6 linked regions of the Mus musculus genome follow. The protein of the gene in region 4 purifies or fractionates together with the protein of the main gene of each other region. This does not show direct contact. Links are inferred from orthologs where the notes say so. Each region holds a gene or a part of one and is shown on either strand. Other genes may lie near its edges.

Evidence for each region.
Region 1: the proteins of Pop1 (region 4) and Rpp25 purify together in Homo sapiens (affinity purification with mass spectrometry; 3 studies listed by BioGRID and IntAct, counting the BioPlex papers as one, with this or other methods). This does not show direct contact. The link is inferred for Mus musculus from reciprocal best matches to the Homo sapiens genes POP1 and RPP25.
Region 2: the proteins of Pop1 (region 4) and Rpp30 purify together in Homo sapiens (affinity purification with mass spectrometry; 5 studies listed by BioGRID and IntAct, counting the BioPlex papers as one, with this or other methods). This does not show direct contact. The link is inferred for Mus musculus from reciprocal best matches to the Homo sapiens genes POP1 and RPP30.
Region 3: the proteins of Pop1 (region 4) and Pop7 purify together in Homo sapiens (affinity purification with mass spectrometry; 3 studies listed by BioGRID and IntAct, with this or other methods). This does not show direct contact. The link is inferred for Mus musculus from reciprocal best matches to the Homo sapiens genes POP1 and POP7.
Region 5: the proteins of Pop1 (region 4) and Rpp38 purify together in Homo sapiens (affinity purification with mass spectrometry; 3 studies listed by BioGRID and IntAct, with this or other methods). This does not show direct contact. The link is inferred for Mus musculus from reciprocal best matches to the Homo sapiens genes POP1 and RPP38.
Region 6: the proteins of Pop1 (region 4) and Pop4 purify together in Homo sapiens (affinity purification with mass spectrometry; 5 studies listed by BioGRID and IntAct, counting the BioPlex papers as one, with this or other methods). This does not show direct contact. The link is inferred for Mus musculus from reciprocal best matches to the Homo sapiens genes POP1 and POP4.

What each region holds. Positions count from the first base shown.
Region 1 is NC_000075.6:57,501,931-57,506,502, forward strand, and holds Rpp25 (ribonuclease P protein subunit p25), read left to right. Parts: upstream 1-2,171; 5' UTR 2,172-2,306; coding exon 2,307-2,906; 3' UTR 2,907-3,517; downstream 3,518-4,572. UniProt on the Homo sapiens protein: Component of ribonuclease P, a ribonucleoprotein complex that generates mature tRNA molecules by cleaving their 5'-ends. Also a component of the MRP ribonuclease complex, which cleaves pre-rRNA sequences.
Region 2 is NC_000085.6:36,100,073-36,103,908, forward strand, and holds part of Rpp30 (ribonuclease P protein subunit p30), read left to right. Parts: intron 1-99; coding exon 100-216; intron 217-736; coding exon 737-766; intron 767-1,161; coding exon 1,162-1,199; intron 1,200-1,748; coding exon 1,749-1,828; intron 1,829-3,836. UniProt on the Homo sapiens protein: Component of ribonuclease P, a ribonucleoprotein complex that generates mature tRNA molecules by cleaving their 5'-ends. Also a component of the MRP ribonuclease complex, which cleaves pre-rRNA sequences.
Region 3 is NC_000071.6:137,500,410-137,504,585, reverse strand, and holds Pop7 (ribonuclease P protein subunit p20), read left to right. Parts: upstream 1-2,156; 5' UTR 2,157-2,307; intron 2,308-2,506; 5' UTR 2,507-2,516; coding exon 2,517-2,939; 3' UTR 2,940-3,147; downstream 3,148-4,176. UniProt on the Homo sapiens protein: Component of ribonuclease P, a ribonucleoprotein complex that generates mature tRNA molecules by cleaving their 5'-ends. Also a component of the MRP ribonuclease complex, which cleaves pre-rRNA sequences.
Region 4 is NC_000081.6:34,507,720-34,512,776, forward strand, and holds part of Pop1 (ribonucleases P/MRP protein subunit POP1), read left to right. Parts: intron 1-400; coding exon 401-488; intron 489-884; coding exon 885-1,072; intron 1,073-2,043; coding exon 2,044-2,300; intron 2,301-2,612; coding exon 2,613-2,706; intron 2,707-4,194; coding exon 4,195-4,306; intron 4,307-5,012; coding exon 5,013-5,057. UniProt on the Homo sapiens protein: Component of ribonuclease P, a ribonucleoprotein complex that generates mature tRNA molecules by cleaving their 5'-ends. Also a component of the MRP ribonuclease complex, which cleaves pre-rRNA sequences.
Region 5 is NC_000068.7:3,329,190-3,334,969, reverse strand, and holds the start of Rpp38 (ribonuclease P protein subunit p38), read left to right. Parts: upstream 1-2,341; 5' UTR 2,342-2,443; intron 2,444-2,471; exon of another isoform or gene 2,472-3,740; coding exon of another isoform or gene 3,741-3,842; intron 3,843-4,513; coding exon of another isoform or gene 4,514-4,611; intron 4,612-5,096; coding exon of another isoform or gene 5,097-5,106; coding exon 5,107-5,780. UniProt on the Homo sapiens protein: Component of ribonuclease P, a ribonucleoprotein complex that generates mature tRNA molecules by cleaving their 5'-ends. Also a component of the MRP ribonuclease complex, which cleaves pre-rRNA sequences.
Region 6 is NC_000073.6:38,261,185-38,265,756, reverse strand, and holds the end of Pop4 (ribonuclease P protein subunit p29), read left to right. Parts: intron 1-1,327; coding exon 1,328-1,429; intron 1,430-2,447; coding exon 2,448-2,584; 3' UTR 2,585-2,937; downstream 2,938-4,572. UniProt on the Homo sapiens protein: Component of ribonuclease P, a ribonucleoprotein complex that generates mature tRNA molecules by cleaving their 5'-ends.

The sequences.
Region 1 (4,572 bases), on a different chromosome or scaffold from region 4:
TTCTTCACGGTCCAACCGGTTTCTTCGGCTCACCGCCTCTCTGCCAGTTCTGGGCTTTCAGGCTGCCAGCATCGAGCTGTCCCCACATCCTTTTCCCCCATCACCTCCCCACTTGCACAGCCGGCAGGCGATGGAGAGAGCTGACAGCGTAATGAATGGCTTCAGCTGTAATTAGCGACCCCGCGGCTAATCACGATGTGCATTTACATTTTAAGTGCTGCTGAGGGAGCTGGAAAGGAAGCGATGCGCGGGCGGGGAACCGGGCCTTTTCTGCGTTCTCCCTCCACAGGAAAATAAAGTGAATGGGAGAGTCTCTGGCAGAGGGTAGTGGTACTGGGAGAGGGTGGCGGTGTCCTTGAGGGCCAACTTGGGTAGAGGCACAACCATTCACTCTTTTCAGAACAAACCTGCTGCCCCCAGATCTTCCAAATTGTAGTGTACGGCCTACATGATTTCCAAGTTGTTTAACCCAGGCTTGCATACTCCAGGGAACGCAGAGCTCTCTTCTTTTCCAACCAGCACATTCCTACATAGCTTCTAGTCTTTCTGGAACTTTTTCTCAGATCAATCCAAAACTGCCGACTTTAAGTCCACCACTTGCCTGAGTGCACTCAGTCGTGGGGTCTCCCCAAGGTTGGGACTCCAGAGCCTGCTTCTCCCTGTGAAATCTACAAGAATTAAGATTAGATCCAGGGCAGAGTCCCAGTTCGGGGCACACTCCTGGAGTGTGAGCAGGAGATTGGAGCCAGTCACTCACACTTGAGGTAAAAATAAAAAATAAAAAGTCCAGCTGCTGCAGCCACACTCCAAGAAGAGATGAGATATAAGCTCGTTGTTCTGAGCTGAGGGGCTGAGAATTGTCACAGATAGCAAAGAGGAAGAGGAGGGCCGGGCAGCTCTCCCCCTAGACTGATGCTGTGCTCATCCAAACACCATCTTGCTGATACTTTGAGAACACCGTTCCTTACAGTCCTCAGTGCGTCTTCCTTCCCGGTGCTTCCCACGTCTGTCTGATTCCCTCCCTGCCTTTCCATGGAAACGGGATTGAATATTGAGGGCGTGGCCCCAGGCCAGGGTCACTCCTTATTAAACAGTCTTGCTTTGATCAGACCTCATCTTTCTACTGCCCACCTCACCTCGCAGCAGAGCCCGAGCCTCTGCTCAGATTCAGTGGAGTTCCCAGAGTTTGCAAGTACCCGCCCCCACACACACACATTCCGCCAAGGCACTCCACCCTGCCTCCCACCTCTTAAAACCTGTCTTCTCTCAGTCTCCTTTTAACAAAAACAACCCTCTGGATTTCTAGAGGCCAAGGCTGACTGGCAAGGAATTCCACCTGGAATTGGAAGTCAGGAATCCGGCGTTAGCTCGGGCTGAGCCACGCTCATAAACATGTATGCAGCTCCAGTAAAGGACTTTCAGGCATGAATATAAGAATTTAACGCCTTGGAAGAAATGGTCTCCTGTTCCCCATTCACTTTAGGCTGGCCCAACGCATCACTTCCTGCATTTCAGAGGTGCATAGGTGCCGGGAGCCTGGAGGTATGATCAGGAGGAGCAAAGCTTAGTGTCTCTCTAAGCAGCTACGCAAGGACCAGGCCACGACGTAGCGGTCCCAGCCCAGGGAAGGCGCTGCGTGCAGCCGCAGCCAACGCCTCCCACTCTCTGCTGACCATGCACTGGCTGCCCTTGACGCAAAAATATAGTAAGAGAACGGGAGGGAGGTCCCTGGAGGGGTGGAGTAGCGAAGCCCCAAAAGGTGGTTTGGAGATCTCTTACCTAGGAGGGGTCTAGGGATGCCCTTGCGCTGGAACCCCGCAGGGCTCAGGGACCAGGCTTGAGTCGGCATTTGAACCTTAAGCATAGTATTTATTTAGGTTGTTCCTGCATAAGGTCTGGTTCAGGGAGAACAGATGGTGACTTCGGAGAACTTCACCTCCCAAATCACCCGTGGCTCTGTGACCCCAGCCGCTGAGCTCCAGCGCTGGATCCCAAAGGCTGGAGGGACTGGGACAAGTCACGCAGAGTTGGGGCGGGTCCTGGGCGAAGGGGCGGGTCCTATCTGGCTCCCAGGCGGAGCTTCTGCTAAAGGCGCGGAGCACAAGGTGCCGAGGGCGCAGAGTAGAACATCACTACCCTGTAGAAGTCTGGGCTGAAGACTGCACGTTCCCAGCCCACCCTCCAACCTTCACTCGGCGCCGGCACCCCAATCCCTGCCAGCTCTCGCCCGGCACGACCCGCGGCCATGCAGCCCCGGGCTTGAGGCGGCCCCATGGCAAAACCTGCGATCCCAGCGACGACGGCGCATGGAGAACTTCCGTAAGGTGCGCTCGGAGGAGGCGCCGGCGGGGGACGGTGATGAGGGTGGCAGCCCGAACTCTGGCCCTTTTGCAGATCTGGCACCCGGTGCTGTACACATGCGGGTCAAGGAGGGCAGCAAGATCCGCAACCTACTGGCCTTCGCCACCGCCAGCATGGCGCAGCCAGCCACGCGCGCCATCGTCTTCAGTGGCTGCGGCCGGGCCACCACCAAGACCGTCACGTGCGCCGAGATTCTCAAGCGCCGCCTGGCGGGCTTACACCAGGTCACGCGGCTGCGCTACCGGAGCGTGCGCGAGGTGTGGCAGAGCCTCCCGCCTGGGCCCACACCGGGTCAGACGCCCAGCGATCCGGCCGCCAGTCTCAGTGTACTTAAGAATGTACCGAGCCTCGCCATCCTACTTTCAAAGGACGCACTGGATCCACGACAACTTGGCTACCAGCCTCCGAACCTCAGTCCTGGTCCTTCGTCCCCTCCTACGGTGTCGACGTCCAAGAGGAGCCTGGGGGAATCTGCTGCTGAAGAAGGCACCGCTAAGCGGTCTCAGCCTGAGCCAGAGGCTGAGAATGAGGACAGGACCGCCTGAGAATTCTCGCCTCTGAGCCACCCAGACCGACTGAATCATATATCTTCAACACTCCTGCATACCTTTCAACACACGCACCTTTCATACCTGGGTTTTAAGGGGCCCATGTTCCTGGACACCGGTCCTCAGAATGACAGCGCGGATCCCAAGGCGACAGGAGAGAGCTCAGGAATGAGAAGAGAGGATCCTTGAAGTCCAAGGAAACTTTGTGGGACATGTTACCAGAAGCCACAGAACACCACCCACACCTTTGCTAGGCCGTCTTTTTTAGGGAAGCATGGTGGGTAGTGGGACTCTTGAGCTTTCTTGGGGACCCAGACGTTAAAAGCACCCAGTATGCATGGATGCTGACAGTTGAGGCTTTAAAAATCATCTTTGCTGTTAACTGAGAGCGGGAGCTACGGAGCTGATTACTTGAGGATGGCCAAGTTGAAAATGTCCGGACCCTATTCTGCACCCCCACACACACACACACCCTAGCAATTCCCTTTTAGCATCCCTCCCCCACCCGCCTTGCATGATGGCTGAGAGGGGACTTAGGACAAAATCTGCCATGCTTCCTCCCCGAGTCCTGCTGGAGTCTTGCTTCCAATAAAACAAACGTGAAAATGGCTCTGTCTTCAGTTTTGTTCTTTTTTTCTTTTTCCTTACCCACTCGCCTGTGCAGAGACCACTTTGGCATGCTTGCCTTCAACCCTATTAGCCTTTGGAGTCTTCAAGGTCAGACACAGAGACTGGGGCAGTGTCAAAATGTTGAAAGAGGGACTTGTGGTGGAGGGGGCCGGGGTCTGTGTCACTGTTGTATCACCACAAGGGAAAGGAAGCAGTTTTGCTACTTCTCTGGGAGGGGAAGGAGGGGGGAGCATTGATGAGCTGGAGGCGGCAGCCTGCCAAGGCCGGCAGACCATGCTAAGGTTCTAACCTTGCTCGCTCCTCGCAGTAGACATTCTTACCCAGAGGCAGGCACAAAGCCCCAAGAGTAGGAGCTCCCCTTCACTGCCCTCTCTCTGCAAAAGGACAGCACACCCTTGGGAGAGGGGGAGGAGAGAGACAGCACAAATCCACTGCTGGAAATTACTATTCAGCAGAGAAGCTTGGGCTGTGAATCACTGCGGGCTCCCTGATAAGCCGCTGCCTCCAGCCCTGCACAGCTGTGTGTGGAGAGATAACAGCCTCAGATGCCTCTCAGCCCAAGTCCAAGCCTGGAGGGGGCGGGGGTGTGCTGTGTGCTGGGGAGCTGTGCAGCGTACAGCTCAGAATCTTCAGAGCAGATGCTACCCCATGGAACCCAGCACCTCTGGAAAGGAGATGGGAGAGAATAAATTTGTAAGTCACTTTGCCTGTAGAACCTTGAAATAAATCCTACTGGCGAGGACGTGGGTTTCTGCAGCTGATGGAGGGCGCCTTGGGGAAGCCTCTTCTCTCTTCCCAGTATCTCTGCTTGTGTTTTGGATCACTGACTCTTGTCATCCAGACTGTCGATCATTGCCTTTCACCTCCCACCCCACCTTCCTGACTTAATTATTTATTTTTAGGAGAGGTCTTGCCATGTAGTGCAGGCTGGACAAGAACTGATCCTCCTGCCCTAGCCTCCCAAATGCTGCGATTACAGGTGTGTAATTTGTCCAGCTCTATTTCTTGTTCTTGAGGAATCCCTAGGGAGAGC
Region 2 (3,836 bases), on a different chromosome or scaffold from region 4:
CAGAGGGGGAGAAGGGAGGTGGAAAGAGACTTCAGAGGGAAGTAGGTAATGTACTTGTCTTTGACGGTTTATACTTTGTCTTCTTTATTTCTGGTAAAGGCAATTGAGCGAGGCCTGGGCTTTGAACTTGTCTATGGTCCTGCTATCAGAGATGCAACGATGAGAAGGTACACAATCTCCAATGCCCTCAATTTGATGCAGATCTGCAAAGGAAAGGTATAGTTCCAGCCCAGAGGATGCTTTCTGCTTCTGACAGTTTAGTAGTGTGTCCGTGCTGTCAACTGATTCCTTGCCTTAAGCAGAAAATTTTCAAAACACTAAATTCTTCAGTTTCAATGAGCTTTCCGAGATCTTGTAAAACCTCCCAAGGGCGGAGTAAGATAGGGAGGAAAGATGTGCCGAAAGCCTCTAGTTTTGATAAGGGATTTGTAGTTTGCCACAATGAAAAGACTTCTGTAGATAATAGTTGATTATCTCTGAGTGAATTAAAGTTACAGCTTTTAATTCGTCCTCACTAAGATTTACTTACAAAGTTTATTCTGCTTTTTTTAAATTGGCTGCCTTGAGTGAGAGCTTTCGATGCTTTCTCATTCGTTGTTTACCTTATCTTTTAAAAATAGAACTTGGTATTTCAGCCTTAAATGTTAGACAGAGTTGCTGATCATTTGTTCTATACAATTCTTCAATTATGTTATTAATTATCTAAGATTAATATTGCTCACTTTCTGTTTTATAGAATGTAATTCTGTCCAGTGCTGCAGAAAGGGTAAGCATAGATGGAATACTTTGTCCCAGCAGTTACAAAGCTTGGCTACACTTTTAGAACACCTGACAAGACAGTGAGATGAACTGCCTCTTAGTGCTTGTAACTGTTTGCCGATGGTAATTGCGAAATGTATCCCATTGATTTTGCCTTCGGGTTTTGCCTATGCATGTTTGTATTTGTGAATTAACTAGAATAAAGTGATTTTATTTTTCCCTTTACCTTGTAAACAACCCTTTATATGGTTTATTATATATTTTTAAAAACTTATCACAATTATAAGGATCTTAATTTATGAAATTTACTTATCTTTGGATACTTAGTTGTACTTATTATAAATAATTAAGATGTTAATAACATCTCATATCTCATTTTATTTTCTATTTTTCTCATTTTAGCCTTTGGAAATAAGAGGACCATATGACGTGGCAAACTTGTATCCTCTCAGTATTCTGTTTAAAACCTATGTTCCTATTGGGCATTGATCAGAAGACAACTTCAGGAAGTAGTTCTCTCCTTCTACCTTGCGGGTCTTGGGCATCCATCCAAGGCCACAGGTTGCCAACAGACACCCTTAAATGTTAAAACAGAGTTGCTGATCATTTGTTCTATACAATTCTTCTGAGCCATCACGTTGAACTAGAATTTTCCCTTAGAAAAATGTAATCAAAAGTGCTATTATAATTTAGCCTGGTGTTTTGTTATCATTTAGTTGTAAGTTTACTGACCAGCAGCCTCGGAAGTCAATAACAACTAGTTGTAGCTTTCTTCTTCTTCTCCTGGTGTTTGGATTAAGCAGCAGAAAAGAGAGACAAGGGACTGTACAGGACAAAACAGTTAATTGAGACTTCTTGGGTGCAGGTCTCAGGCAGGCTAAGTCTGTCTGCCACTGTGAGCAGGTGAGCTGCCCTTCGTTTGTGTTTGTGTTTGTGTTGTCTCATATCCTTGGCGGACTCTGGGTTGAAGTCCTTAATGACCCTATCAGAGGACTGCTGTTTGGGCTTTCTGAAAATGATGGCAAGGCTGCCGTGTCCACAAATTGCAGAGCTGTATTTCTCCATGGAGGTAAGCATGTTGTTATTTATAGTAAAATCAGAATGGTCTCGTTAGAGGCAGGTTATCATCAGATAATTGGCATATATGTGCTTTAACTATCCTTCCTACAGAGTTCTTATAAGGGTGTCTTCTCAACCAGTTCTAACCATATTCTGTTCCTTGCCCTCATTTCAGGCCTTCCTCTCTGTAGTGTGTGCATTGTATGTAGTGTGTGCATTGTATGTAGTGTGTGCATTGTATGTAGTGTGTGCATTGTATGTAGTTTGCATTACAGAATGACTGTTGAATGTGTTCTTTCAAACTACACACTGTCCCCAGCCCACATTTTCAGAGGCTTTTAACATCGCTCCTGCTTTTCTCTGGGTGGTCTTTCTCCCTGCTAAAATAAATAAGTTTCAGAAACAGGAGTGGGAATAGTAGTGTTAGTTTGACAGGATCTAGAACCATCCCGTTCCAGAATCACCTGTGAGGGGTTATCTAGATTCGGTAAGCCCCTGAGAATGTGAGTGTTTGGTTAGTGGATGTGAGAAGACCCTCTTCCTGGCTAGGGATCCTGGATTGAATAAACTAGAGAAAGCAAGCTGAGCACTGGCACTCAGACATGCGCTCCTCAGCTGGGAATAGGATGCAGCCAGCTGCTTCAGGCTCCTGTGCCCCTGAACTCCCTTCCAAGATGGACTCTACCCTTGCACTGTGAGCTGAAATAAACTGATTACTCTCTGGGTTGCTCTTATCAGAGTATTTTACACAGGAACAGAAAAGAAACGAAAACATCAAACCATTAAGTAAAAAAAAAAAAAAACCAGAAACGTCGATGGGCAGTGGTGGCACACGCCTTTAATCCCAGCACTTGGGAGGCAGAGGCAGGTGAATTTCTAAGTTCGAGGCCAACCTGGTCTACAGAGTGAGTTCCAGGACAGCCAGGGCTACACAGAGAAACCTTGTCTCAAAAAACAACAACAAAACAAAACAAAACAACCCAGAAACATCATTTTTTAAATCCACCTATCTAAACTCAGTCTATAACTTTTGTTTTTATTATAACTCAGAATGTTTCTTATTTTGGTTTACATGATCATGTATCTACGGTTACGTATTTTGGGTGTGTTTTTCCCAAGGGGTTGGGGGGCGTCATTGGTTATGTAAAAATATTATACTAGGTTACATAAGGCCATTTTTTGCAAGTCTAATAAATGTGCTCTGGGCACATGCCCTCCACCCTCCTTTCTCACCCCGTTAGTCTCTTGTGCATATTCCCTGCCACTCCACACCCCTTACAGCTATTAGTCCCCTTCATGCATACTAGTTACACTCCCCACACCCCGCAGATCCCAACTAGTCCTCTTGTGCAGGTTCCCTTCCTAACCTCAGACCAGTCCTTCTGTGCATACTCCCTCACACCACCTCCCATTAGTCCTCTTGCTCCTGAGACAGTTCGCTCCGACTCCTGGACTTCTTCCATGGTCTGCACATGTACGGTTTGTGTACCTGAGGGGAGTGTGAGGCCCACAATGAGGCAGAGCCCACTCCTCCTGCAGCTCTGCTCTTCCTTCCTCCTCACCACACCCTTCCTCCAGTGTCACTTTTCAGTGTGTTCCTTAGTTCATCAGGCGGTGATTGTCCTGTGTGCCTTCATTCTAATATGTCTATTTGTAATGTACTTACCCAGCATTTTGAATATTTAAAAACCACTGCTAAGGATTTTATATACTGCATATGACAGTGCCTGTCCTGTTAATATGTACTTAAAACAAATCTAAGTTGAAGTTCAACTCTACTGCCAAACTGACCGGAGCATACAAAGCAATCCCTCTTTTTCCCTTCATTATTAGCATACATAAAGGATTGGTAAACGTGAGCTTGATTCTGTGTTCTGCCAGCACACATGTTAGATGACTGCTGGACGTTGGTACATTGTACATTGGTAGCCTAGTGAGGGTGATGGTGTGTGCTGTAGAGTAAGCTCACCACAGCCCCTGCTGTGGGAGCAGTGCAGGCGACTCCTGCACCCGGGCCT
Region 3 (4,176 bases), on a different chromosome or scaffold from region 4:
TTATGGTGGGTCCCAGGGCCCCACCTCAGGTTCTTGGGTTTCACAGTGGGTAGCCTTACCTTAGACCCTCCACCCTTGAAATTTTGATGAACAACAGCTTATCTGTCTTCCCCACCCCACCTCGACCCTGTCTCTGGACTGGTTGCCTGACTAGCCTCTTGAAGAATCCCCTTACATTTTCTCCATTTGTTTTATAGTTAACAGTTTCATATTCAGAGCCACTGGCCACGCTATGGTCTTAAGGCCCTCCCCCACCCTCGGGTCTGTTTCAGAAGCACTCGATACACAGTCCTTTTGCATTGTGCTATGTTTGCATTTCTGTCAAGACAATGAGTTGGCCGGAGCTATAACTCAAATGGTAGCAAGTACACTGCATGAATCAGCTATGCTGGCCCACACCTGTAATTCCCACACTTGGCAGCGGGAGGCAGTTGAGCCAACCTTCAAGGGCACGCTCACTGAGTTTGATGCCAGCCTGGCTGTGAGGCCCTTTCTCCAATGGCTTGGTGTACTTGAGTGTTTCTGAGTTCTCTATTTTATTGATTTTTGTATATATACACCTGCCAACAGCACACTTTTCTTAATGACCGTATTTGCATGGTAAGTCTTAAGGGGCTGGCAAGATGGATCAGTGTGTGAGCTGTGAAGTCCTTGCTGTGTGAGCCTTTGCTCCTCAGAACCAATATAAAGGTTGAGGAATCGACTTCACAACGTGTATGGTCCCTGCACTGCATACACACAATAGCCATAGCTTTAAAAGTAAATATATATTTTTAAATTTTTATATATGTGCCTGTGTGTGTCTGGGCACACACACAGGCCAGAGGAGGGTGTCAGGTCTCCTGAAGCTGGACTTAACATTCAACATGGGTACCGGGAACAAACTCGAGTCCTCTTCAAGAGAGTCATCTTGAAGAGCAGAAAGTGCTCGTAATTGCTAAGACAGTTGAGTCCAACAACGTTACAAAATCATTTTATTCAGTCTATTTATTTGCCATAAGTTTTAGGATAAGTTTATTAAAATGGTGCAGTCGTGCACACCTAAAACATTAGCGCTGGGGAGGCCAAGGCAGGAGCATGAGTTCTAGGCTAGCCTGAGCTACATCGTTAAACCCTATCCCCACCCCCACCCCCCAAAAAAAGATTTTTTGGTTTATATGTGCAACTCTTCCTGAGACTCCTCTAAATGTTCATTAAATATATAGATCAGCTCGGAGTAAACTGAGGTCTAGCATGTCAAACCTTCCATTTTAACCTAAATCCTAGAAGTTAGGGATGTATCTCAGTTGAGTGAGTCCCTGCGGTTATAACCCTGGCACTCACAAGGTGGAGGCAGGGGGATCAGAAGTTCAAGGTTGGCTATATAGCAGAGTGCACACTTCCCTTTCCAGCCTTCAGTCAGATTCAGCCTAGGTAAGTGGCCTGGAGATGTATCTAGGACGAAGCCCCAAAGCAGGCTTCACGCCTTTCTGCAGGGAACGGTCCAAATGCTTTACCATTGCGGGCAGAGATCCAGATTCCCACTAACTTTCAGGGGCTAGGAACCCAAGCACTGCAGTTCCTGTCCCTTCCGCCAGGGAGCGGCCGGTCATGGCTTGCCGGTCGCGGGAAGCAGCTCGAGTGCGGCGGGACAGTTAAGAGGTGTGGCGGGAAGCTGCCAACACTTGGCACCTCATGTGGGTCCCTCGCAGAGGGAGGAGTCCATCATGGTGGACACGATCCCTTCGATTTCTCGGCTTCCGGGGCTGTCAGGACGTCGGGCGGGAGGTCAGCTGTCAACTCCACTGCTCAGAAGTGGGATGGACGTGGACTACAGGCTTCCGGCCCCTGCGATCCCAGCTCCAATGCTGACCCGGGGTCGCTGCCCGAACCCCCTTTTCCAGCCCTGCTTCCCGCCTCGATCCTCGAGTCCCGCCCTGCCCGGGGAGGGGAGAACTGGGCGATCCACGCCACGCCCCTCTTGGGCCCGCCTCTGTCAATTAGCCCCGCCTCTGCTAGCTAGTCCCGCCCTTCGAAGCGCTCACTAGAACCCTGCGAACCCTCAAGTCTCGCGAGCCTTAAATCGCCTTGCGCACGCGCACGAGGAAAGGAGGCGGAGAGTACGGAAGCCTAGAAGGCCATAAGCTTATCGGTTCCGGCTTGGAGCGGGGACGCGCGTGCGCAGTGCGTAGCCCTTGCTGGCGAGCCTGCCCGGCGTTCCTCTTCCGATCCCTTCTCCGTTCTTCTTCTGCATATCGAGGCCAGCGACGTCCACTTGGATCGGTCGGCGAGGCTCACGCGAGTGAAGGGCACTGAGGAAGGAAGAAGGTAGGCGTGGACACGCCGGGAATGGGAACCACGTGATGAATGAATTAAAACTGGGAGTGGAGAAAGCGGAAGTGGAAGGGCTTGAGACACTGGGAAGGAAGAGGGTGTTGAGGGCGCCCCCTTCTGGTTGCACCCTTAGAAAGCCGGGCAAGAAAGGATTCTCCTGACCTCCCTGAATCTTGTTCCTTCTCCATGCCAGGACTCAGAGCATGGCAGAAAACAGAGAACCCCGCTGTGCCATCGAGGCTGAGCTGGACCCTGTGGAGTACACCCTTCGGAAGCGACTTCCCCACCGCTTGCCCCGGAGGCCCAACGACATTTATGTCAACATGAAGACTGACTTTAAGGCCCAGCTAGCTCGCTGCCAAAAGCTCCTGGACGGAGGCACTAGGGGGCAGAACGCATGCACTGAAATCTACATTCATGGCTTGGGCCTGGCCATCAACCGGGCCATCAACATCGCCCTGCAGCTGCAGGCGGGCAGCTTTGGGTCCCTACAGGTGGCCGCCAATACCTCCACCGTGGAGCTGGTGGACGAGTTGGAGCCAGAGACTGACTCTCGGGAGCCCCTGACGAGGGTCAGGAACAACTCAGCCATCCACATCCGAGTCTTCAGGGTCACGCCCAAGTAACTGAAGGGAGGCTGACTTGGACCCACCAAGGCTTCTGAGCACACACATCCATGTGGCCGAGGTTTCTAGTGCTTCATAGTGGCTCTTGTTCTGAGTTCTGTCCTGAGCCTCTTGTTACCTTGTTACTTCAGCCTAGAGGACTGAGAATGGAGAGCCCGAGAAGTGAATCTTCCTTGTCCTGTATAATAAATTATTAAGTTGTGTTGGTGCCGGGCTTCGAATGGCCTCTTTTTCCTAGTGTAATTCTGTGTGTACTTGAATAGGAAAATGGTAGGAAAGAGCAAGTATATAGGCCACAGTAAGGCATCTCACATTGAACCACAGTATGACGGGAATCAAATTTGTTGAGTGTAACACGGAAGCTTAATTGTTACAGTGTGCTCTCAGGAAGATGAGAGAGTAGACTCATCGACTGAGCTAGCTACAGCTGGGATGTATCCGGCTCTCATGGTTCCCAGGCTTGGGAAAAGAGAAGGTTTAAAGGTGAGGGAAGTTCTTTGTGGATATAACTCAGCAAAGGAATCGTGACTAGTGAGTGTTACCTAGTTGCCTAGCATAGGATTAGGCCAGAGGTTCAATTCCTAGTAACCACAAGAATTATGACGGGGGAGGGATGGGGAGATGGCTCAATAGGCAAGGCACTTGTCAAATAATCATGAATATTTGAATCAGCAGAACTCATTTTTCTGCGGAGCATTGCAGCTCTTGAATCCAATTCCCATGCTTCTACAGTGAGATAGGTATCAGAGATGGGCGAATCCTCGCTAGCTTGTGGGCTAGCTGCTCCGGCATAAACATCAGCAGCAAGAAACCCTGGCTCGAAGTGGAAGGTGACTTACACGTAAACTGTAGCACATGTACTGGTACTCACACATACACATGCAAAACTGACGGTTTGTTTGCTGGTAGTCAAACCTAGGGCCTTTTTACCCAAAGTAAGTCTACTGTTGCTGAGCCACGCCCCCAGCTCTTCAGTGGTGGATTCTAAGTAGCCCTTCTACGGCTAAGCCCCTAGCTCTTGAACTGACAGTTTTGACTGTTACACTTGATTCCTGTTCCCGAAGAGCTCATGTGTTGCTGGGCATCGGTAGTCTAGAGTCTGAGATCAACCTAGTTCAGCTGTTTAATCTTTCTTGCCAGCTTGCTTAGATGTAAAATCACCCAGTAGACACTCCTCTGGGCATGTGTTTAGCTGAGGTAGGGAGAACCTGCTCTTTATGTGGATGGCAGCATTCCA
Region 4 (5,057 bases):
GCACTGTATATGATAAATTAAATGAAGGTGCATTTTGATTTTGACTCAGATTGGCTTAAGACTATCTGCTAATGTAATAGTAGTAGGCAGGCTTTAGATTTTGAGTTGTTGAAAGCTGACTTCCGGTAATTGATTTTGTTCTTAGAACAGGTTTTCTGGTTGTCGGAGATGTTAGATCAGATCCCTTCTGGACGTGGAGTTAGAGGTAGTTGTGAACCACCCAAAGTGGGAGCTGGGAATTGAACTTGGGTCCTCTACAAGAATAGTTTGTGCTCTTAACCTCTGAGCCATCTCTCCTGTGTTCCTCCACAGGTTTTCTGATACAGCACTGGCTTCTTAGCATTTTTTTTTACCCCATAACAGATCCTAGAATATTTAAACATGTCTCTCCTTTGTTCAGGATTTATCATATTACTGCTGTTTGGAGTTGAAAGGCAAAGAGGAAGAACTACTGAAAGCGCTCTCTCAAATGTGTAGCATAGACGCAGGTAATTTCAACAGCTTGTGCTGTGTTAATCTTTGTGTATCTGTTCATTTGTAAATAAATGTCTGTTATAAGCACTACTAAGCAGTTCAGATTTAATATGGAAATGTAAGATATTCTTATTCCCAGTGAGTACGTTAATTTAAGAAAGGTTGAGTTGATATTTAAATCTTTAATAACATTCTTATGTAAAGTGAGTCATTATTCCCGGAGTAAACTTAGGCAGAAACACCTTGAAACTCACTAAATCATTGATTTAACAAAGATTTTTTGAGGACTTACTCTGGCCAGAACCAAAGCTTCTCTCAGAGACTGACAGTTGCTAAAGCATGGCTCTCAGGAATAATACTGCTCTGTGTGAGCACCCACAGTCTCGCTGTTGCATTTATGTTTGTGCCAGGCCTGACTTTTGCTGCAGTTCACTGCTTGTCTGGGAAGCGGCAAGGGAGCCTCATGCTTTACCGGGCAAATAAGTATCCCAGGGAAATGCTTGGGCCGGTTACCTTCATCTGGAAGTCTAGGATGACCCCAGAGGATGCTTCTGAGGATAGGCAGCTGTGGATCTGGCTTCACCCAACTCTTAAACTGGTATGTCTTTCTGTTGCATTCCATCTCTTTAATCACAGTGTGTGGAGGGATTTAACCGTACACGCGTGGGAGTCTGCTCTTTCCTTCCACCACATGGACCTGCTTACTGCTGCATTCTTAATTACTATTGGAAGACAGTATTTTAGAAATTTCAGTGGTAAAAAAGTTTGGCTGACGATTTGATGTGATAATTTTTTTAAATGAATCAATTAAAATGTTACTTTCCATCCTTCCCTTACTTTCTTTTGCTTTCCCTCCCTCCCTCCCTTCCTTCCTTCCTTCCTTCCTTCCTTCCTTCCTTCCTTCCTTCCTTCCCCCTCTCTCTTTCCCTCCCTCCTTCCCTCCCTTCCTCTCCTCTCCTTTTCTTTCCTCTTCTTTCTTTCAACAGGGTCTGTGTAGCCCTGGCTGGCTGGCTTGCTTGCTTTCTTTCTCTCTCTCTCTCTCTCTCTCTCTCTCTCTCTCTCTCTCTCTGTCTCTCTGTCTCTGTCTCTCTCTCTCTCTCTCTCTCTCTCTCTCTCTCCCTCTCCCTCTCTCAACAGGGTCTGTGTAGCCCTGGCTATCCTGTTGCTATGTAGACCTATCTGGCCTCAAACTCAAGGTGATATGCATGTTTCTGTCTTCCAAAAACCCACGTCTTCATGCCTGGCTGATTTTTTTTTTTTAATTTAATTTTTTTTTTATCTAAAACTATTGAGCAAAGAATGGATGTACTTATCTTGACAATGATGATTTAATAAATAGATACACATTATGTAATGTTTATCACAGTGAACACACTCATCTCTGTCAATGTAATTTGTAACACTGCATTTAACTTAAAGCAGTTTTGAAGGATTTATTTTTCTATTTTATGTGTATGCCTGGTACCCACAAGGGCCAGAAGAGGTGGTTTTAACCACTAAGAAATATATCTCTTGAGCCCTCTGTGTTTAATTTTGAAGGTTAAAGTGAATGTTTACATACTTCCTTAGGCTGTCCTAGAAGAAATAAAAACAACATGCCACTGTTCAGAACCCGTCAAGTCAAATATCTGCATGCCTGACCCACTCCTGACACCAGCCCCGGAAGACATTCAAGCAGGACTAGCTGGTGACAAAATCAGCAAGAAAAGAAAAAGGAGAGACGATGGGGAGAGTGTTAGCCGAGCTAAGAAGACCATTGGTGACGGGACACGAGATGCCTGCCAGCCTCGGTCATGGCGATCTCCCACTACAGGGATTATAGTCAGGTAGGAGGAGTTTCAGTGGGAGACTGTCATTGTGACAACACTACGATCATCACCTCCCCCCCTTTCCTTTTTTGTTTTGTTTTGTTTTGTTTTCAATAGAGGGTTTTCCTGGCTGTCTTTAGAACTCACTGTGTACACCAGGCTGGCCTCAAACTCAGATTGCCTGCCTCTGCCTCCCAAGTGCTGGAATTCAAGGTGTGTGCCACCCTACCTGGCTATGCCTTGTGCTGTGTGCCACCATGTTTGCTATGTTCCATTTTTATCACAGACATCACGTGTGATAGACATTTCCATTTTGTGGTCTTCTCTCAGTGACTTGACAATGGAGATGAACAGGTTCCGGCTGATAGGCCCTCTTTCGCACTGTATCCTGACCTCAGCACTGAGGGCTGCTCCTGTACACACAGTGAGTAAACACGGCAGATTTGTGAGGCCTCACATACAATCTCGTATTCTGTTGGGTTGCCATATAATCTGTTATTACCAGCTCATTTTTGCTTATATATTTTTTAATCTTTCACTTCTAGAAGATGGAATTTCAGTGGGTGTGATAGTCAATTGAATATTTAATTCATATCCTCTTTTGTGAATCTGTAGAAGGTAATCCCTGCTCCGTAGATGGACAATGGGATGTCTCTAAAATCTCTTGACATTTTATGTCAGTTTTTATTCCCCTTTCCTTTAGTTTTTTGTTTTCTTTTAGTTTGGCTTATCTGACTGATTTTCTGGAAAGTTCTGAGCAACATGTCTCCCGGCACTTCAGATCAAAAGCAGGGCTGACATCCTTTGTGTTCTCAGGATTTGTAGCCGCCAGTCCTACTTGTGACTGAGTGGGTGAGGAGCTGATTTGTATTTATTTAATTTTAACTAAGGATTAAAGTCAGGGCGCTCTTTGTGGCCTGTGTTACCTCACACCTGCAGTTCTCACCTCACCTTTGACCTTTGGCCATGTTGGCCTTCAGGTTCTAGAATGTGTCACCTCTCATCTCTGTCAGGACTCACAGCTGTTTTCTTTGTATCTGTTGAGCACTCTGTTGTGCGACTCTTGGTTGGGCTAAGCGTCCCTCAGTTTTCAAGGCTCAGCCTGTGTCTTACACTCTGTATCCCCTCTGGGTAACTCGCTTGCCTGTTGTTTCTGTAGAACCTGCACGTTCCTTCTACGTTAACGTCCGTATCTCTCATTGATGTCTGCGGCTGCTGATGACAGGCAGTGCAGGCCCTGCCCTCTGCCCTGTCCCCAGTGCTTAGCACAGTGCCTAGCACATGGAGGTCTTGTATGTGCTCAAAAAGGTTGGAGTGAAGATTTGAGTTCAGAAGGCTTTGTTCTAGGGCCTGGACTCCAAACCACTTAGCTCTGCTAGGGGAGTGGCAGACGAGTTACCACTTTAGGGTCTGGAGGAGGCTTTCAGCATGAATAGTGGCCTTCACTGTCATATTTGTCACACTTCTATACTTGAAATGCTTTGCCAACTTTGCTAAATCCCAGCTTTGCTAAGAAAGATGTAAGTAGAAGTGTTTACGCATCTCGTCCGGTGTTGCTGAGAATAGTGAAGTGGTTTACTCGAGGTTTTCATTGGTTTGGTAAAAAAGGAACACTTTACCGCTTAAATTAAGAGAGGATGAAGGCAGTGAGATGGAAAAGGGTCTCTTAGGGAAAGAGAGTGACAATGCTTACTTAAGCTGTGTCTTTGAAAAGCATGGCTGTATTCTGAGTGTGTGAAACTGCTAATTAGAATGTTTAGTCAGGTAGCAATTACTGTCTTAGATATGCTGGCATCTTCCCTGCCACTCTCTGTGAAGCAGTTGTTCTCACATACAGAAACAAAGCGAGTGTAGCCTTGTTACAGCCGTGTTACAGCTGCAGCAGGGACTAGGCCAGGTCCTTGTTTTCCAGGGGGAAGAGGATGCCGAGGAGACACCACATCACTGGTGGACTGACACTTGCAGGAGCTCTGATGGTCGTTCTCTTCACCAAAGACAAGAAGCAGTGTTTGAGTTGTTGGGAGGTACAAGGAGGGAGGATCTGGTGCTGACGAGAAGGGAAGGGAGGGGTGGGACTGCTCAGGAGAGCGGTTGCCTTGCTTTATCCTGCTGTTATTTGTTGTGATATAACGAGAATCGAGTAAGAAGCCCAGAGCTAAAGATTAAAGCATTGAGTTTGTGCTTGTTTATGAAATAACAAGCTTGTTCCTATTCTAAATAACTGGTTTTCTGCAGTAAGAAAGAGTAAGCGAGCAATAACTGCTGACCTAATGTCCTTGCACACTGCCCCCAGATGCGCACAGCTGTTAGACAAATGTGTGCAGTTGTTAGGGAATAATTTTATGGTCTTTTAATTTTATTTTGCAAGAAACTTTATTTTTAAAGTGTTAATTTTATTTCTGAAGGTATTAATGGGCAAAAGGTGATATGTATTTTAAAACAATTATCCCAAGGAAAATGTTTCATTGGAAAAATCTGAAAGATTTCAAAATACAAACAAGATTGTGTTATACAACATTTTTATTACCTTTATTATTTTCTGTTTGTGTATGTGTACATATACACATGTGTACTTAAGGAAGTCAGTTCTCTTCTTTACTCATAGGGACAGAACTCAGGTTGTCAGACTTGGCGGCAAGTGTCTTTGCTCACTGAGCCACATCGCAAGCCCTGGGTGTTGCCTTTCTGTAAACTTGCTTTTATGCATTCATTCTCTCTGTTTTGTTGAAGGGATATCATCACCAGCAGAAATTCCAGCAGGTACTATTCTGGGAT
Region 5 (5,780 bases), on a different chromosome or scaffold from region 4:
TATGGGAAGCATATATTTGTTAAAAAAAAAAACCTGAACATAAACTGATTAAACATAATCATAAACATAAATTGATGTAAATAAAAATAAAATAAATAAATAAATAATAAAATAAAAATAATAAAATAAAAATAATAAAATAAAAATTAAAAACTGAATTGATGTAAAATAAGAGCTATAATTGAAAAGTAAATTGACCATTTGGTTTGGTGTGTGTGTGTATATATATATATATATATATATATATATATACATACATATACACATATACTACTTAGGAAACTACAGGAAGCATATGTTTGCAGAAAAAAATATGAACATAAACTAAAGTTGTGCTACACAAATGGAAAGAAATTACCTTTGAGATATATTCTTTTGGGTAAAATCCTTGTGGAAAGATTGCTAAATTCTCAAATAGAAAACAAGGCCCAAAATAGTAGCGGCTATATATAATTTGTATTAACTTAATTCTGCCACAGCTGTCACTGGGTCATAGTGGTTCCATTTGTCAGACATGTACCATGTGGCAGGCACTGTGGTAAGCATCTTACACAGAATATTCTTCTAATCCTCAGAATAGGCACTATTTTTATCATTTCATAGTTGGCTAATTAACTTGCCTGAGGTGTAGGGACACTAGTTAGTGGGAAGGCTAGGGTGTCAACATAGCAGCCTGGCGGCAGAGGCTTGTAATGTAAGAGCTGGAACTTTGGTGGGACAACACTCATAGCCATTACCTTTTTACTTCTTTATCTTGCCCCTCTTTCTGCCTTTTTTTATTTTTATTTATTTATTTATTTATTTATTTATTTATTTTTCTGTTATGGTGTGTGCAAGTTCTGGCCCCGAAGGCCCAGTCTGCAGCCTCCTGTCTCAGTCTTCCACGAGCCAGGATTTTATGTGAACCTTTAGTATTTCAATTCTACCATCGCGATTTGTCTTTAGCGCTACATGACTGCGGGTAATAGTAAAGGACGTCTTATATGGCACAGTCAAAACTCGACCGAACTTAATCTAGTTCATCTACTTGTGATAGAAACCACAGCACGCTTTTCCTGTAAAAACTTCAACAATCTTTGACCACAAGCAACAGTGTTTGTTCTGTTTAAATGTTCAATAGGTGGTGAATAATGGAAACGTAGAAGCTAGATCCTATATGTTAGTCTAAAATGAGCAATGAAAACACCGAGAAAAAAGAGGAAGATAAAGAGAAGGACCTGAATCCTCCCAAATTCATAAGAACAGAAAGTAATTCCTGTCAAGTAATTTTTATTTATTTATTTATTTATTTATTTATTTATTTATTTAATGTATGTGAGTACATTGTTGCTGTCTTCAGACACACCAGAAGAGGGCATTGGATCCCATTACAGATGGTTGTGAGCTGGGACTTGAACTCAGGACCTCTGAAAGAGCAGTCAGTGCTCTTACCCGCTGAGCCATCTCTCCTGCCTTTTTTTTTTGTTTGTTTTGTTTTGTTTTTTGTTTTTTTGAGACAGGGTTTCTCTGTATAGTCCTGGATGTCCTGGAACTCACTTTGTAGACCAGGCTGGCCTCGAACTCAGAAATCCGCCTGCCTCCCGAGTACTGGGATTAAAGGCGTGCGTAATTTTTAATCTTTAGTACATTATTCCACTGCTTACCAGTTGTAACTTTCCAGTGATTTTGTTTCATAACCTTTCTTATTTTTTGTCTCCGTTTGTCAGAAGGCACAACAGCTATTGCCGGAGTACTCTGGAGTACTGCTGTGGAACTAAATGCAGCCCCTATTTTCCTTTCAGTGTGCCCAAGATTCTACACATAATCTCTAAGTACATGCAACCCTATAACCCCTATTTATTTGATTTTCGTGGCAGAACACGAGCTCCGCCTACCTGCCTCTGCATTACGTCACTCCCAGTCAGGGGCGTCAGGCGTGGTGTGTGGACTAAACCTGGCACAGCACTGCGCAGGCGTGTATTCTGTCTCGCGAGAGTCTGTGGTTGCTGTAGTAACCAGCCTCTCCCAGGGACGCGTGCAGGGGAATGGGTGGCTATAAGGGCTGGAGTTTTGTATCCCCAGAACAAAAAGAGACAGCAAGGCAGAAGCAACTGGGCTAAAAATGGAGAGCCAAAAGGAGAGACGAACCTCTCACAGAACCGAGCTGTTCCGCATCGTCATTTTGGACGACCAGTCAGAAGGGAGAGGCTGGTTACTACAGCAACCACAGACTCTCGCGAGACAGAATACACGCCTGCGCAGTGCTGTGCCAGGTTTAGTCCACACACCACGCCTGACGTCCCTGACTGGGAGTGACGTAATGCAGAGGCAGGTAGGCGGAGCTCGTGTTCTGCGCACGCTCAGTGCAGGCGCACGTGGAGCGGGCGCAGTGGTTCCTGGTAGTGACCGAGTTGCTGTAGTGAAGCGATCCGTCACGTGGTCTCCGCGGGGCGCTTCTGCTCAGGTGGGCGCGTGCGTGCCTGTGGCTCGAGTCCCGGCCCGTGGGCACCCGGGTCACCGCGGGGTGGGGGTCATCCAGAGCCCGCTCTCCCTGAGGTTCTTTCCGGCTGGTCTCAGCCGATCCCTGCCTTCGGGGGTTTCCTTCCGTCGTGTTGTGTGATGCGGGTACCCCTTCGTCCTCCCGAGACCGCGGGAGCTTCTCTGCTGCTGACAGCCTTTCTAGGGTCTCTTCCCAAATCAAGGTCTCTGTGACGCGATTCTAATCGCGCCGCCCTTCTTGAAAGGCTCTAGAGTCACCATCTTGTCCTTACCCAGTATCTTCAACTCCAGCATCTCTGTTCGGGCGATACTGAACTTTAATGTTCTTCTGTAATCCCTCACTGCCCGCTTCCTTCTTGGGCTATCTAAAGAATTCCTTCAAAGGAGGAATATTTTAGATTGCGGTTGGTTAATGGTCGTTTTCTCCAGAGACTTCAACTAAGGCCTGTTCCTCAAGATAACCTCACTACTCTGGCTTTAGAGTGAGCCGTTTTTATTACTCGCAGAAGCTTTTTGCTTTGCCCAATGCCTAATGGCCTGCAACAGCAAGGATAATTCATAATAATTTGATAGAAAAAAATGTATGTAAGTGCTCTACCAGGCACAGTGTACGTTGAATAAGGACATGAGAAACCAGAGGCCTCATTAAATAGCCAGAATCTGTAATATGGGTGATGAGTGAAAGGAGAAATGCTTGAGAAATGGGAGTAAACATTTTGAGTTTGTAATTGGTCCTGTAGGCAGTAGCAGCTTGCAGACATAGTTGGCAAGGTACTTGATCAAGCTCTGTGAACCTGTTAATATTCAGCATTTTAAAAATTAGTATTGCATGGCGGTCATCTTATGTAGGCTTGGTTCTTTTTTTCATCTCCCCTTCCAGGTTTTTGTGAATCAGAGACATACATCCCAATCTTGCAATCCCTTGGTTGCAGAGCATCTGTGAGTGTCCCCCATGCTAGGCAGGGACAGTAGCTGACTTGCAGTTTGGCAAGCGTTGTGGTGGGACCATTTGTCCCTTGCTTCCTGGTCATTTTACTCAAAGCTAGCTACCAGCTGCTGGTCACCTCGATAGATTTGGACGACCTGTTCTTGAATCTCTTAGCTTGTGAGGAGCATGCAGCTCATGGGGATTGATGGAAGCAGTTATTATGGAAGCAGCTATAGCCAGTGTCTGTAGCAGTGGGCAGCACTGACAGAATCAAGATTGCAGCTCTTACTGGGAGTGAGTGCAACACCATCTCCAAAGGCCGTGCAGTCTGGAGATGCCACCTGCCTCACATCAACATCTCCAAATGTTGGGCAGCTTTTTACCAGCACCTGTGGCACAGTTGACTCCCAGAAATTCCAGCTCAGTAAGCTCTAGGGTGAGTCAGCCATCTGATGGTTCTTAAAAACCACAGGTTATTTCTAAGATAGATCCATGATTAAAAGAAGTCTTTAGAAAAACTAGCTGTGAGTTGTACAGTGAGTCTGCTTCCTAATCCATGCCAGGGAACTCTGTAAGTTTGTTAGGAACAAGATGCGTGGAGAAAGTGCCCTGAATTAGAGGAACCTTAAGCAGGGGGGACTTATTTGAAGTTTGTCAACTGGGTCTTCATAGTTCTCAGATGAACTCTAAGAAGGAGACAACTGAGAGCAGAGGTATACAGTTGCCTTTGGGAAGGATAAACAGGGTTTAAATGAATGAATGCCCGACAAGAGAGCAGTTAACGTCCTAACTTGTCTGTAAGGTTAATTATTATAGGAAGAACAAATAACAGTGTTTTGTTTCGGATTTGCTTTTGGAAGGAGCGCAGCCCATTTACTTCTCCCTAATGGATTAATCTCTGAATTTCATATTTTTTTTATTTTTCATGAAATTGCCCGCCAAAGCAGTCATCTTATAATCATGTGAGAGGGAAAATATGGGCCTGCATGTTTCAAATGTTTTAGGGACTTGGGAATCATGAGAGGAGGGAGACTTAAAGTTTTAGCCATGGACAGATTACTACGGTTTTGCTTCTTAAAATCTGACCTGGTTCATTATGAACTTCAGAGACTACAGAAGGTTAAGCTCTGTGTGGGCAGACACAGGGGCTTCAGAGCCCACCAGCATCTGTGTCTGGAACACCATCTGCCCACTGCAGTAACTCAGTAAGTATGCTTATAAATGAATGAATGAGGGGTTGGCAAGATGTTTCAGAGGGAAGAGGCATTTACTACCAAGCCTGTGACTTGAGTTCATTCCCTTGAGACTCACATGGAGAAAACCATTTTAATAGAGCTGTCCTCTGACCACATGTGCTATGACCCCAAACCTAATAAATGTCTTTAACATTTTTAAAATAAATGAGTGGAATTCCAATTAGAGTTTGGAAGATGCTCACAAATCTGTAAGATTAACACCAGTCACTCTCACATTGCCTGTTGAGCATCATGAAAAAATAGGGAGAATTAAGTCTTCCTTGTGCCACAGAAATTCTCTGACTGGTTATCTAGTTGGGCCCATATAATTAGACTTGCTGTAGCATATCAGCCTGGAATAAAAAACAAAACAACAGAGACTGGAGACTATAACCAAAATGTTCTCAAGACATGCATTGCTGACAGGAGTTTCATCATTTTGTTTCTTTCCAAAGGGTTTTCAAGATGGCTGCAGCCCCTCAGGCACCAAAGAGGGGATCTATTCGGAAGACTAGACCTCTGGTTGTAAAAACATCACTAAACAACCCTTATGTTATTTCCTGGAGCACCTTGGAGAGAGAAGACATACACTTTATATTACAGACTCTCGAAGCCAAGTTTAAATTGATTGGACTTCAGAAAATTGAAGATAAGAAGAAAAGGAAAAAAACAGCTCTTATGAAAAAGCAAAGTTGCCGGCCAGATATTGAGATTAGCGAGGATCCAAAAGAGCCTGATGGGGATGTGCTGGTGTCAGGGTGGACACCTGTACACGTCAGGAAACAGCTGGTCATTGGTGTTAATGAAGTCACCAGAGCTCTGGAGAGGAATGAACTGCTCCTGGTTCTAGTGTGTAAGTCAGTCAAGCCTGCCATCATCACCTCACACCTGATTCAGCTGAGTCTAAGCAGAACTGTTCCTGCCTGTCAGGTACCTCAGCTCAGCGAGAGAATTGCTCCTGTCATTGGCTTAAAATGTGTGCTAGCCTTGGGTTTCAGAAAGAACACCAGGGACTTTGCTGATGAAGTAGAAGCCATCATTCCCAGGGTGCCCAGCTTAAACGTGCCATGGCTTCCAGACAGAACCCAAGGTCCCACAGACAGTTTAGAGACTGAACCCTCGGAAAGCCAGGACAACGA
Region 6 (4,572 bases), on a different chromosome or scaffold from region 4:
GTGATCTAACCCATCCTGGTTCCTTGTTAAACACACACTAAGTGCTCTCTTGGTGCCATCTGCTCACACTGTTGGAATCGAGGCTCTAGCCGATTCTCTTGGGCCCAGATTCCCTCCCATCATGGTTTCCAAGGGGTCACCGCCAGTGCAGACTTTTCCCACGACTCCTTCACCCCATGACACCCAAAGCTGCCTGGATGGACATCCAAGAGCTACCTCAGATTAGCTATCCAACACCAAGCCGTTGGTCCCCTGAGGTCAGCTGTCTCTGATCTGCTTGCCTCATCTCCTAGAATAGCACAGCTTGTCCAGGCTAGAAACTAGGAAGTACATACAAATTACCTCTTTCCCCAATCCTCTACCTCAAGGACATTAACACACCTAGCTCCCAAATCTGACCCACTCCCTCAAGGTGCTGCGACTACTTTCTCTGGCCTCCCCACACCCTGCCCAGGTCACATACTGTTTTATTCCCACATACACTACAAGGTTAAATACCCAGAATGAAGGCTGCAGTCAGACTTCAGACTGCTGTTTACGTTACCCGTTCTAGGCCTCTAGCAGCTTCGGTGTCCTTTGGCCACTTTGTAGCTTGCACACCAGTTGTCTTTGCTTGAGTCCTTCATTCAACCAAGGGGTTCTGCATATGCATGTACCTCGGTCCCCTTTCCTGATGTCACTTCTGAGAGTCTACTAGCACTAAAGTTTCTTCTTCCACCCCCATTCTGTTCTTATTTTCCTTGTAGCCATTATCAGTATCAAGAATTAGAATTGCCCGTGTTTTACTATACATTGTCCTCTACCACAGCTTCAGCTCCACAGGAGCAGAATACAAACCATCTCATTCAGTGTCCTGCCCCAGCACCCTCCTAGCTCACTGGGCACATAGTTTCTTCTGTGAATGCTGACTACACGGAAGCGGAAAGGGGCCTGCCTATGAGGTGGCTCATGCCATTGCTAGGCAACTCTATAGAAGGACTACATTCCAGACAAAGTTCAGGAGACCCAAAAGTAAATGATAGATGCCCTGCCCATGGTGTTTGCTCCAACAGCAGTACACTGGACTTGTTGGTTCTGTGTATTACCTCTCGGCTCCAGAACCCTGCCCAAAACTAAAGGACACCCAAGAATAGCCAAGAGATCATGAAGCACAGGACAAGGGGCTAGGAAGCCTGGGCTCTTGCTAGCTGGGTCACTGCCCAAGAGCCACTATCTTCTGAGCACTTTCTTCCTCAGCTTAGAAAAGCCCATCTTCCTGTCTCTGAGGCTTGGCAATGACTGCCAGCACCACCCAGTCCTTACAGTCAGTTGCCTTTCTCCTTTGCAGTCACGAAATCCAAGTGCCCCTCCTATGTGGGAGTTACAGGAATCCTTCTGCAGGAGACCAAACATGTCTTTAAGATCATCACCAGAGAAGACCACCTAAAAGGTGAGTGCTGTGTCCCCAGGGTATCAGATGCCACTATATCTCCCTTCCAGGTTTGCTTTCCTGTGGAGTCAAACAGGTTGCAAGTGCTTACTATGATGTGAGTGAGGTCGCTGCCTATGTGGCTCTCCCAGGAGACATCTATGAACACAGCCTGCAGCCTGTCCATGAACAGGACAGAAGAACTGCTTGGTTGTTTCTTGGATCTCTACCTACCAAAGTCACCACCTCTCAAATGAGTAACTAAAAGAAAGGCAGGAGAAACCAAAGCAACCTATACCTGGAGTTCTGAGAACTGCACCCTAGTTCTCTTGAGTTTTAGCAAGTTCCAGCAGGTACTCTGGATCTTTTGGGGTCTCTGTACCTGACCTTACCCACATATCCAGAGATTCAAACAACAGATGGAGGGTTTGTACTCATTCCTTTATCTGTTGATTCTGGAAATTAAACCCAGGACCTCTGTCTACTAATCCTGCGCTCTGCCCCTGGCTTACCCCCAGAGCCCTGCTTCATTGTTTTTCCATGATGTTCTGCTTGCACTGTAAGTCTAAGGAAGTGGTATAGAAGTTTCCTCATGAGCACACATCTAAGAACCTGTGCAAAATTGTATGGAAAACCCTACCTGGTGGTGGGCCTGGGAGCCTTCGGTCGTGGGAGTTGAGTCATTCACCCCAGAACCTGTAATTAGGCATTGAGTTACATTTAGACTGAGTCAAATGGCCCATGTCTCCCTTGGTATTTCTGGCTTGATCTCCTCATTCCTATAGACTTTTTTTAGACATTCTCACTATCTAGCCTTGGCTAGCTTGGAACGTGCTATGTAGACCAGGCTGCCCTTGAACTCAGAAATCTGCCTGCTGCCTGGCTTTGTCTCCTAGGTGCTCGTATTAAAGTGTGTGCCACCACACCTGTCCAACTCACTTGAATACAAGTATGTATGAATAATGCTCCACACAAAAATGAATGCACTCCCCATGTTGCTTCTCATCCTTTTTTCCCCCTCTTTTTTTTTTCCCTTCAGTCATCCCCAAGCTGAATTGTGTGTTCACCATAGAAATTGATGACTTCATTTCCTACATTTATGGAAGCAAATTCCAGCTTCGGGCAAGTGAGCGGTCTGCCAAGAAGTTCAAAGCAAAGGGATCAATTGACCTGTGAACTCTGCCACTGGAGACAGATGTCCCTGACACTGAAGAACTGGAAACTCCCTAAATACTCACTTTTTCTTGAAGAGCCTCTGGCTGTAGCCCGTCTGTAGTCCAGGGAAAACAGAGGGGCTGAAGAGCATCGAACAACTCGGGAGAAAGCTAGGGGTAAATATTTGTACTGTTAGGTGACCTTAAGTTAGCTTTAGTTCCACAGGGAGGAAAGACTAGCAGAAACACACCAGGATTAACCTTGGGTCATCTGAAGAAGGGGGCATTTAGGCTCTGCCTTTCCTACTTCTCTGTGTATCCTGAACATTCTAACAAAATCAGCTATTGAAATAATAATAAAACCAGACCACGGGCATAAATGGCTTCAAATTCCTGTACTTCTGCTGGGTTGAAAGGAAGGGGGGGTTGTGGCTCCCTCACCCCATGGCCACCTCCCGTCTCCGATTGCTTTCACGGTATGAAACATCAGATCTGACTGGAAGTCATCTCAGCTCCAAACCCTGAGCTGCCTACACTTTGCTGCTCTCACACACAGGCGTCGTGAGCTTGCTAGATGGCTCAGATTTGGCTACAGTAGTCAGAATGGGGCAGAGGGCCAGATCTGCCAGTACCATTGGAACTGGGCCAGCACTCCAGGCTGGTATCATGAAAGCCTTGTAGTTGAAACCTGGTTCACAGGAATCACTTGCCCCTTGCTTGTAAGAAGCAAATGTCTGCCAGCCAACTCAGAAATTCTCCTGGCAACACATGTAACCACTCACAGGGAGGCGGTGGTGCTGGTGGGGTCACTTCCTGGATGGCTCCGACTCAGATCACACTGAGTGGAAGAGAAATGAGTAAGGCTAACATTCTTCATATGACAGAAAAATAGAATGCTTACTCCCAGAACCACCTACAGTGGTTTGAATAAGTATGGCCCCATGTAGACTCGTGTGTGAATGCTTGACCCATAGGGAGTGCCACTCTTAAGGAACTCTGGCCTTGTTGGAGGAGATGTGACACTGGAGAGGTGGGCTTTGAAGTCTCAGGTATGTGATCAAGCTTTGCATGGTCTGGAATGCAGTCTCCTCCAGGCTGCCTCCAGATCAAAATGTCCAACTCTCAGCTTCTCCAGCACCATGACTGTTTAAATGGTGCTGTGCTTCCCACAATGATAACAGACTAAACCTCTGAAACTCTAAGCCAGCCTCCAATTAAATGTTTTCCTTTATTAGAATGGTAAATCTTCACAGCAATGGGAATTCTAACTAACCAGCACCCCCAAGTACCACAGTCTGGACCTGTTCTACCACTCTCTGGACCCCAGTTCTATCTACATCATCAAGACATTCCTCATGGCACTCCCCAGACCCACCTGACCCCTGTTTCCCTGGTGGAGGGCACACATGGGCTCTCACCCTGAAAGTGAGCATTACTCAGGTCTCATTGACTTTACCCAAGGAAAGCTGAGATCTGAACCAGAAAGGCTGGCTCAGGGACATGGGCTTCCCAGCAGGATACCCACAAGAATGTGAAAGACTAGAATCAAGTATGTATATGTTCCTTACAAGGAACACCATCTTCTGTGTCCAGTGACTACTGTTGTACCTGAGTGAAACCGCATGTGTGCTATAACATCGAGCAGAACTATTCATCCACACCCTCTGAGATGAAAAAGGCACACTATGTTGCATAGTTATGTCCCAGAAAACTTGCTGGGGCCAGCCCCAACTCAAGTTTCCATTGACTAGCTAAGGATGTTCTCAGGGAAGACAATGTGATGCTCCCCTGTCACACTGTCTCTGCGCTTTTTGCCTTGTCTAGGATGTGCTACTGTTGTATCACTAACCTCCCCCAGGGGACCAAGGTCCACAACATCTTCCCAAGCACTACTGATGAAGTTGCACATGAGACTACATAGAGTATGGCTAGCCAAATCCTTACAGTTCAGAGCTTCATGGAGGGTGGTATGGTACTTGTCACTTGTGACTCTGTCTCCAAGGAACAGGA